Nothobranchius furzeri: one gene and its partner. The protein of the gene in region 1 interacts with the protein of each later gene in a pairwise test. Links are inferred from orthologs where the notes say so. Each region holds a gene or a part of one and is shown on either strand. Other genes may lie near its edges. The genes, in order: myosin-7 and mybpc3.

Region 1 (3,817 bases):
ACACTCCACGTAATAAATTATAGGAGCAAGATAATCTCTCTGATGCTGAAGAGCGTTGTGAGGGTCTGATCAAGAGCAAGATTCAGCTGGAAGCAAAAATCAAAGAGCTGACTGAAAGGCTGGAGGACGAAGAGGAGATGAATGCTGAGCTGACTGGAAAGAAGAGGAAGCTGGAGGATGAGTGCTCTGAGTTAAAGAAGGATATTGATGACTTAGAGCTCACTCTGGCAAAAGTAGAGAAAGAGAAGCATGCCACTGAGAACAAGGTACTAAAGACATGCGCTACTTTACTGAAATTAGTGACGATTTTCTGATTATTCTATGAAAACCTAATAAAAGTCGTTCCTGGCTACAGGTCAAGAACCTGACAGAGGAGATGGCTGCTTTGGATGAAATCATTGCCAAGCTGACCAAGGAAAAGAAAGCCTTACAGGAAGCTCATCAGCAAACGCTGGATGACCTGCAGAGTGAGGAAGACAAAGTCAACACTCTGACCAAGGCCAAGGCCAAGCTGGAGCAGCAAGTGGACGATGTGAGAGTTTACACAATTAAGTGGACTAAAAACTATTTAGTTAAGTTAATCAAATTCTCTTCTTTAACAACTCTCTGCAGCTTGAAGGGTCCTTAGAGCAAGAAAAGAAAATCCGTATGGACCTGGAGAGAGCAAAGCGGAAGCTTGAAGGAGACTTGAAGCTGGCCCAAGAAAGTATCATGGACCTGGAGAATGACAAGCAGCAGCTTGAAGAGAGGCTGAAGAAGTAAGAAGTCCTAATTAAAGAATGCTAGATTTAGAAAATACCTTTTATATTTTTGACTCATTTCATCTTTAGGAAAGATTTTGAAATAAGTCAGCTGAACGGGAAAATAGAGGATGAACAAGTTATGAGTGCCCAACTCCAGAAGAAACTGAAGGAGCTGCAGGTCAAAATTCACACAAAAAACTTCAAAATGACGTTAAAAATTATTAGGATAATGAAGATTATAAAAGTAGCTTGTGTTTGTTCTAGGCCCGTATAGAAGAGCTGGAGGAAGAGCTGGAGGCAGAGCGAGCTGCTCGAGCCAAGGTGGAGAAGCAGAGAGCAGACCTGGCCAGAGAGCTGGAGGAGATCAGTGAGAGGCTGGAGGAGGCTGGAGGAGCCACAGCCGCCCAGATCGAGATGAACAAGAAGAGGGAGGCTGAGCTCCAGAAGCTGCGCAGAGACCTTGAAGAGGCCACGCTGCAGCATGAAGCCACCACCGCTACACTCAGGAAGAAACAAGCTGACAGCGTTGCTGACCTGGGAGAGCAGATCGACAACCTGCAGAGAGTCAAGCAGAAACTGGAGAAGGAGAAGAGCGAGCTCAAACTGGAACTTGATGACGTGGTCTCCAACATGGAGCAGATTGTCAAGACTAAGGTACGTATGGTGAATGGTGCTTTACTGGAAGTTGGCTGATGATGAATACTTTATTGTTGTTGAAGATGAGTTAACACTGGGAATGTGTGTGTTCTTTTTTCCTAGAACCACCTGGAGAAAATGTGTAGGTCTCTGGAGGACCAGTTAAACGAATATAAAACAAAGGCAGACGAGGGACAGCGAACCATCAATGACTTCACCACGCAGAAGGCTAAGCTCCAAACTGAAAACGGTACTCTCATTATTACAAAACTTCAACATTTAATTTGTAGCAATAAGGAAACTTAAAAAAAACGTCCTGCTTCTATCAGGTGAACTGACAAGAATTTTGGAGGAAAAGGATTCCCTGCTTTCCCAACTCACCCGAGGAAAACAGTCCTACACACAACAAATTGAAGATCTCAAAAGACAACTGGAGGAAGAAATCAAGGTAGAAATAAATTGAGACTCTATCAAATACAAAATGCAAGCTGATTCAAGCAAATTAAGACAACTGCTTTCATTCCAGGCCAAGAACGCATTAGCCCATGCTGTGCAGTCTGCTCGTCATGACTGTGACCTCCTCAGGGAGCAGTACGAGGAGGAGCAGGAGGCCAAGGCTGAACTGCAGCGCGGCATGTCCAAGGCCAACTCTGAGGTGGCTCAGTGGAGAACCAAGTATGAAACTGATGCCATCCAGAGGACCGAGGAACTGGAGGAAGCAAAGTGAGGAAAGGAGTACTTAACCAGAGTAACTCAGACACATTAGCAGCGTTTAACCCTGGAAACCACTTCTGTTACTCAGGAAGAAGCTGGCTCAGCGTCTGCAGGAGGCCGAGGAGGCCGTTGAAGCAGTGAATGCTAAATGTTCCTCTCTGGAGAAGACCAAACACAGGCTGCAGAATGAGATCGAAGATCTCATGGTGGATGTGGAGAGGTCCAACGCTGCTGCTGCTGCTCTGGACAAGAAGCAAAGAAACTTTGACAAGGTTTGCATTCTGTGACCCTTGGTTACTTTGACCACATCTAAAGAATACATGATCTATATAAAACATACATCGTCTTTCAGGTTCTGGCAGAGTGGAAGCAGAAGTACGAAGAGTCTCAATCAGAGCTGGAGAGCTCCCAGAAGGAAGCCAGATCTCTGAGCACGGAGCTCTTCAAACTTAAAAACTCCTATGAAGAGTCTCTTGAGCATCTGGAGACCATGAAGAGAGAGAACAAGAACTTACAAGGTCAGTCAGTGAACGGTCAGAACTTTACGACAAAGAACGATTCCTAGAATGTCAACATTTTTCTCTTAGAGGAAATATCTGACCTGACTGAACAAATTGGTGAGGGAGGAAAGAACATTCATGAGCTTGAGAAGATTCGAAAGCAGCTGGAACAAGAGAAGTCTGAGATTCAAACTGCTCTGGAAGAAGCAGAGGTAGGATTCAAACAACACCTAGCTCTTGAATTCCAAAACACTCAATCAGGTGATGATTCCTAACACTGGATCTGTGTTTTCTCTCCTCGAGGCCTCACTAGAGCACGAGGAAGGGAAGATTCTCAGAGTCCAGCTTGAGCTGAACCAAATAAAGGCTGACTTCGAGCGTAAGCTGGCTGAGAAGGAGGAAGAAATGGAGCAAAATAAGAGAAACCAACAAAGAGCTGTGGACACTCTTCAGAGCTCTCTGGAGGCTGAAACTCGAAGCAGGAACGAAGCTCTCCGCTTGAAGAAGAAGATGGAGGGAGACCTGAATGAGATGGAGATCCAGCTGAGCCAAGCCAACAGGCAGGCGGCCGAGGCTCAGAAACAACTCAAGGCTGTTCACGCTCATCTCAAGGTTTGAACTTTATTCAAAGATTTCTTTAATCATTCCGTCAAACTTAATGCAGCTCAGTATTCAAAATAGAAAGCAAACTTTAGTATTTTCATTGTATTTTGATACATATTTCCATTTCATATGTTAGGATAGCCAAATGTCTGAGAGCGAATGCAAGCAGACACGAGTTTGTAAGGGTTAGCAACATTTTAGCATTTTTCATTCAAAATAAATCAAAAACCAAAACCATGTGGATCAGACTGCAATACACAAAAAAGCTGACTGAAGTCAACAGCAACCAATGTTTTGCCATTATTGTGAACTGTGTCGCCCCCCAACATATGTATTTGCCTCATTGTATACTTCCTGTCCATCTCCAGGATGCTCAGCTTCAGCTTGATGAATCTATGCGAGCCAATGATGACATGAAGGAAAACATCGCGATTGTTGAGAGACGCAACAACCTGATCCAGGCCGAGCTGGAGGAACTGAGAGCAGCTCTGGAACAAACCGAGAGAAGTCGTAAACTCGCTGAGCAAGAGCTGATGGATGTCAGCGAGAGGGTGCAGCTGCTGCACTCCCAGGTGGGATTCCTTTTGCATCAGTCCTTTTATATTTGTGTTGATTCACTGA
Region 2 (3,817 bases), on another chromosome or scaffold:
TGCTAAAGTCAACGCTGAATCGCTGCTGAAGAAACCGAGCATCAAATGGTTCAAAGGAAAGTGGATGGACCTCTCCAGCAAGTGTGGGAAACATCTGCAGCTAAAAGAGACTTTTGATCGCAACACAAAGGTACGCCAACACCAAACAGCTAAATACGGGCAAAAGGCTCAATGCTATCCATCTGCTTGGACTTTACTAAAGTGAGGGCCAAAGTATTATAAATGACAACCATATTTTCGAAGTCTTGAGAGTCTCTCCTACTCACCTGCACACAATCATGGTTCATCATAAGTCGTGTTCCACATAAATATTTTAATGAGTACTTGGACAGGATGCAGCACGGTAAGAGCCACATAGATCAACAACGGTCATCATCGGGCCAAAAAACTGAGTTTGTTTTTTATTTGGGCTGCATGTTGGTGCAGTTGGTAGCACTATTGCCTTGCAGTGAGAAGGTTGCAGGTTCAAAACTGGAGCCTTTCTTTATGTTCTCCTAACGCATGTGTGGGTTTTCTCTGGGTGCCAAAGACATGCATGCTATTGGAAACTCTAAATTGTCCCTCAGTGTACTTGTGATGGACTGGAGACCTGTCCAGAATGTCCCCTGGCTCTCAGCCGAGGACTGCTGCACCAGCTTCCCAAGATCTGAGCAAGGAAAACCAGTTCAGAAATGAAGTTATGAGGTTTTTTTTTTTTTGGTAAGTGGTATGAAAGCCTCAAAACATGTACTGAAACCAGCCACTTGGGGGCTTTTTTTTTGCTTAAACTTCCACAATACCTATCTGTCTCCTGAGTGGAGAGTGCCTCTTTGTCTTTTGTGGCTGCAGGTGTACACCTTTGAGATGCAGATCATTTCTGCTCAAGCCAACTTTGCCGGAGGTTACAGATGTGAGGTTTCGTCCAAGGACAAGTTTGACAGCTGCAATTTTGATTTGACTGTCCACGGTGGGTGTTAGCTATGATGCTAGTGGACCTGTCACCTTGCTGATTGTGTTGCACAAAGACTCACTTGCTGTCTGCTGTGCCTTTCAGAGGCCCGCGCTCCTGAAGGTTTGGACATAAGAGCAGCTTTTAGGCGCACGTAAGTATTTAAAGGGAAATGAAGTTAAATTAATCTACAACTGTTATTGTTATCTTGAAAATACTTGATGGTTAAAACTTTGATTTGAGTATTTTTTTATTGCAAATGTAGCTTTTCTGACTTAATGCATGAAGCAGTTTAGTTATTTTGGGTTAGTCTACTTTTTAATGAGCAATGTCATACAGTACACAGTAACCAAAACACGAACAAACTGTCATGTTATTTGTGTCTAAAATTCCATCCATCCATCCATTTTCATCCGCTTATCCGGAGTCGGGTCGTGGGGGCAGTAGACTAAGGCGAGAGGCCCAGACTTGCCTCTCCCCAGCCACTTGGGCCAGCTCCTCCGGGGAAATCCCAAGGCGTTCCCTGGCCAGGTGAGAGACATAGTCCCTCCACCGTGTCCTGGGTCTACCTTTAGGTCTCCTGCCGGTTGGACGTGCCCGGAAAGCCTCACCACGGAGGCGTCCAGGAGGCATCCTGACCAGATGCCCGAGCCACCTCAACTGGCTTCTCTCGATGTGGAGGAGCAGCGGGTCTACTCAGAGCCCCTCCCGGATGGCTGAGCTTCTCACCTTATCTCTAAGGGAGAGCCCAGCCACTCCTCGGAGAAAACTCATTTCGGCGGCTTGTATCCGCGATCTCGTTCTTTTGGTCACTACCCAAAGCTCATGACCATAAGTGAAGGTGGGAACATAGATCGACCGGTAAATCGAGAGCTTCGCCTTCTGACTCAGCTCTCTTCACCACGACAGACCGGTATAACGCCCGCATCACTGCAGATGCAGCACCAATCCGCCTATCAATCTCACGCTCCAGCTTTCCCTCACTCGTGAACAAGACCCCAAGATACTTAAACTCTTCCACTTGGGGCAGGACCTCATCCCTGACCCGGAGAAGGCATTCTACCCTTTTCTGAATCAAGACCATGGTCTCAGATTTAGAGGAGCTGATTCTCATACCAGCTGCTTCACACTCGGCTGCGAACCGCTCCAGCGAAAGCTGAAGATCACGTTCTGATGAAGCCAACAGGACCACGTCATGTGCAAAAAGCAGAGAGCTAATCCTCAGGCCACCAAAACGGATGCCCTCCACACCTTGGCTGCACCTAGAAATCCTGTCCATAAAGGTCATGAACAGAATCGGTGACAAAGGGCAGCCTTGACGGATTCCAACTCTCACTGGGAATGAGCCCGACATACTGCCAGCAATGTGGACCAAGCTCTGACACCGGTCATACAGGGACCTAACAGCCCATATCAGAGGGCCTGGTACCCCATACTCCCGGAGTACCCCCCACAGGGCCTCCCGATGGACGCGTCAAACGCCTTCTCCAAATCCACAAAACACATGTAGACTGGTTGGGCAAATTCCTACGCACCATCCAGGATCCCCCTAAGGGTACAGAGCTGGTCCAGTGCTCCACGGCCAGGACGAAAACCACATTGCTCTTCCTGAATCTGAGGTTCAACAATCCGATGGACCCTCCTCTCCAGAACCCTTGAATAGCCCTTACCAGGAAGGCTCAGGAGTGTGATCCCCCTTTATTTGGAACACACCCTGCAGTCCCCCTTTTTAAATAAGGGAACCACCACCCCGGTCTGCCAGTCCAGTGGGACTGCCCCCGATGTCCACGATATTGCAGAGCAGCGTCAGCCAACACAGCCCCACAACATCCAGAGCCTTAAGGAACTCCGGTCGGATATCATCCACCCCAGGAGCCTTGCCACAGAGGAGCTTTTTAACCACCTCAGTGACCTCAGTACCATAGATTTGAGAGGCCAATCCAAAGTTCCCAGACTCTGCTTCCTCACTGGAAGATGTGTTGGTGGGATTGAGGAGGTCTTTGAAGTATTCTGCCCACCGATCCACAACATTCTGAGTAGAGGTCAGCAGCACACCGTCCCCACTATAGATAGTCTTGGTAGCGCACTGCTTTCCCCCCCGAAGCGCCGGATGGTGGACCAGAATCTCCTCGAAGCCGTACAGGAGCCTTGCTCCATGGTCTCACCGAACTCCTCCCATGCCCGGGTTTTTGCCTTGGCGACCTTCCGAGCCGCGCTCCGCTTGGACTGCCGGTACCACATTTCTGTGTTTATTCCTTGTATTTGACTCTCAAACCTTTGCTGTTGTTTGTAAAGGTCATCACATGATGCCAAATCACACTAAGTTCACGTTTGCTCGTGATGTGAAGCGAAGCGGCGGCATGTGAAACAATCAGAAAATAACTACCTTCATTCCAGAGGGGAGATCCTTTCAAACCAAGGTGGTTCAATACAGGTCCTTTAAATTGAATTTTAGAGTGGGAACAGAAGCAACGTAGAATGAGATCTACACTTTCACAGGAACGGTTTTAGGTGCAAAATATTATTAAATATTTCACTTTGCTGATAGTTGATAAAAAAAAGTTTGTTTGGAGAAATCTGATATTTAGTAGAGTAAAACGTGCTTATTTATGATTAGTAGTAGTAATAGGTTGTAGTCCTTTTATTATAATTATTATTCTCTCGTGGCCCTTTTTCGTCCCCCTGCACTTGAGCCAAAACAAATCCGGTGTTTTGGGTTTTGCAGCCGAGTCTGGAGACGGATCACATGAGGAGAACTCAAGAAATCTAAACACAATCATTGAAATAGCTGGAACTGTGTTGATCTTTGACTATCTACATGCTAATTAGCACACGCTGGCATGCATTGGCTCTTTCTAATCTCCTGCTGCTTCACAATCAAAACACCAG

What was found.
Region 2: the proteins of myosin-7 (region 1) and mybpc3 interact in a two-hybrid assay, tested with the Homo sapiens proteins (2 studies listed by IntAct). The link is inferred for Nothobranchius furzeri from reciprocal best matches to the Homo sapiens genes MYH7 and MYBPC3.

The regions. Positions count from the first base shown.
Region 1 is NC_091751.1:59,252,911-59,256,727, forward strand, and holds part of myosin-7, read left to right. Parts: intron 1-23; coding exon 24-266; intron 267-355; coding exon 356-532; intron 533-612; coding exon 613-758; intron 759-830; coding exon 831-921; intron 922-1,007; coding exon 1,008-1,397; intron 1,398-1,502; coding exon 1,503-1,629; intron 1,630-1,708; coding exon 1,709-1,827; intron 1,828-1,905; coding exon 1,906-2,102; intron 2,103-2,181; coding exon 2,182-2,365; intron 2,366-2,445; coding exon 2,446-2,611; intron 2,612-2,680; coding exon 2,681-2,805; intron 2,806-2,896; coding exon 2,897-3,205; intron 3,206-3,564; coding exon 3,565-3,768; intron 3,769-3,817. UniProt on the Homo sapiens protein: Myosins are actin-based motor molecules with ATPase activity essential for muscle contraction. Forms regular bipolar thick filaments that, together with actin thin filaments, constitute the fundamental contractile unit of skeletal and cardiac muscle.
Region 2 is NC_091749.1:64,024,632-64,028,448, forward strand, and holds part of mybpc3 (myosin-binding protein C, cardiac-type), read left to right. Parts: coding exon 1-130; intron 131-828; coding exon 829-946; intron 947-1,033; coding exon 1,034-1,082; intron 1,083-3,817. UniProt on the Homo sapiens protein: Thick filament-associated protein located in the crossbridge region of vertebrate striated muscle a bands. In vitro it binds MHC, F-actin and native thin filaments, and modifies the activity of actin-activated myosin ATPase.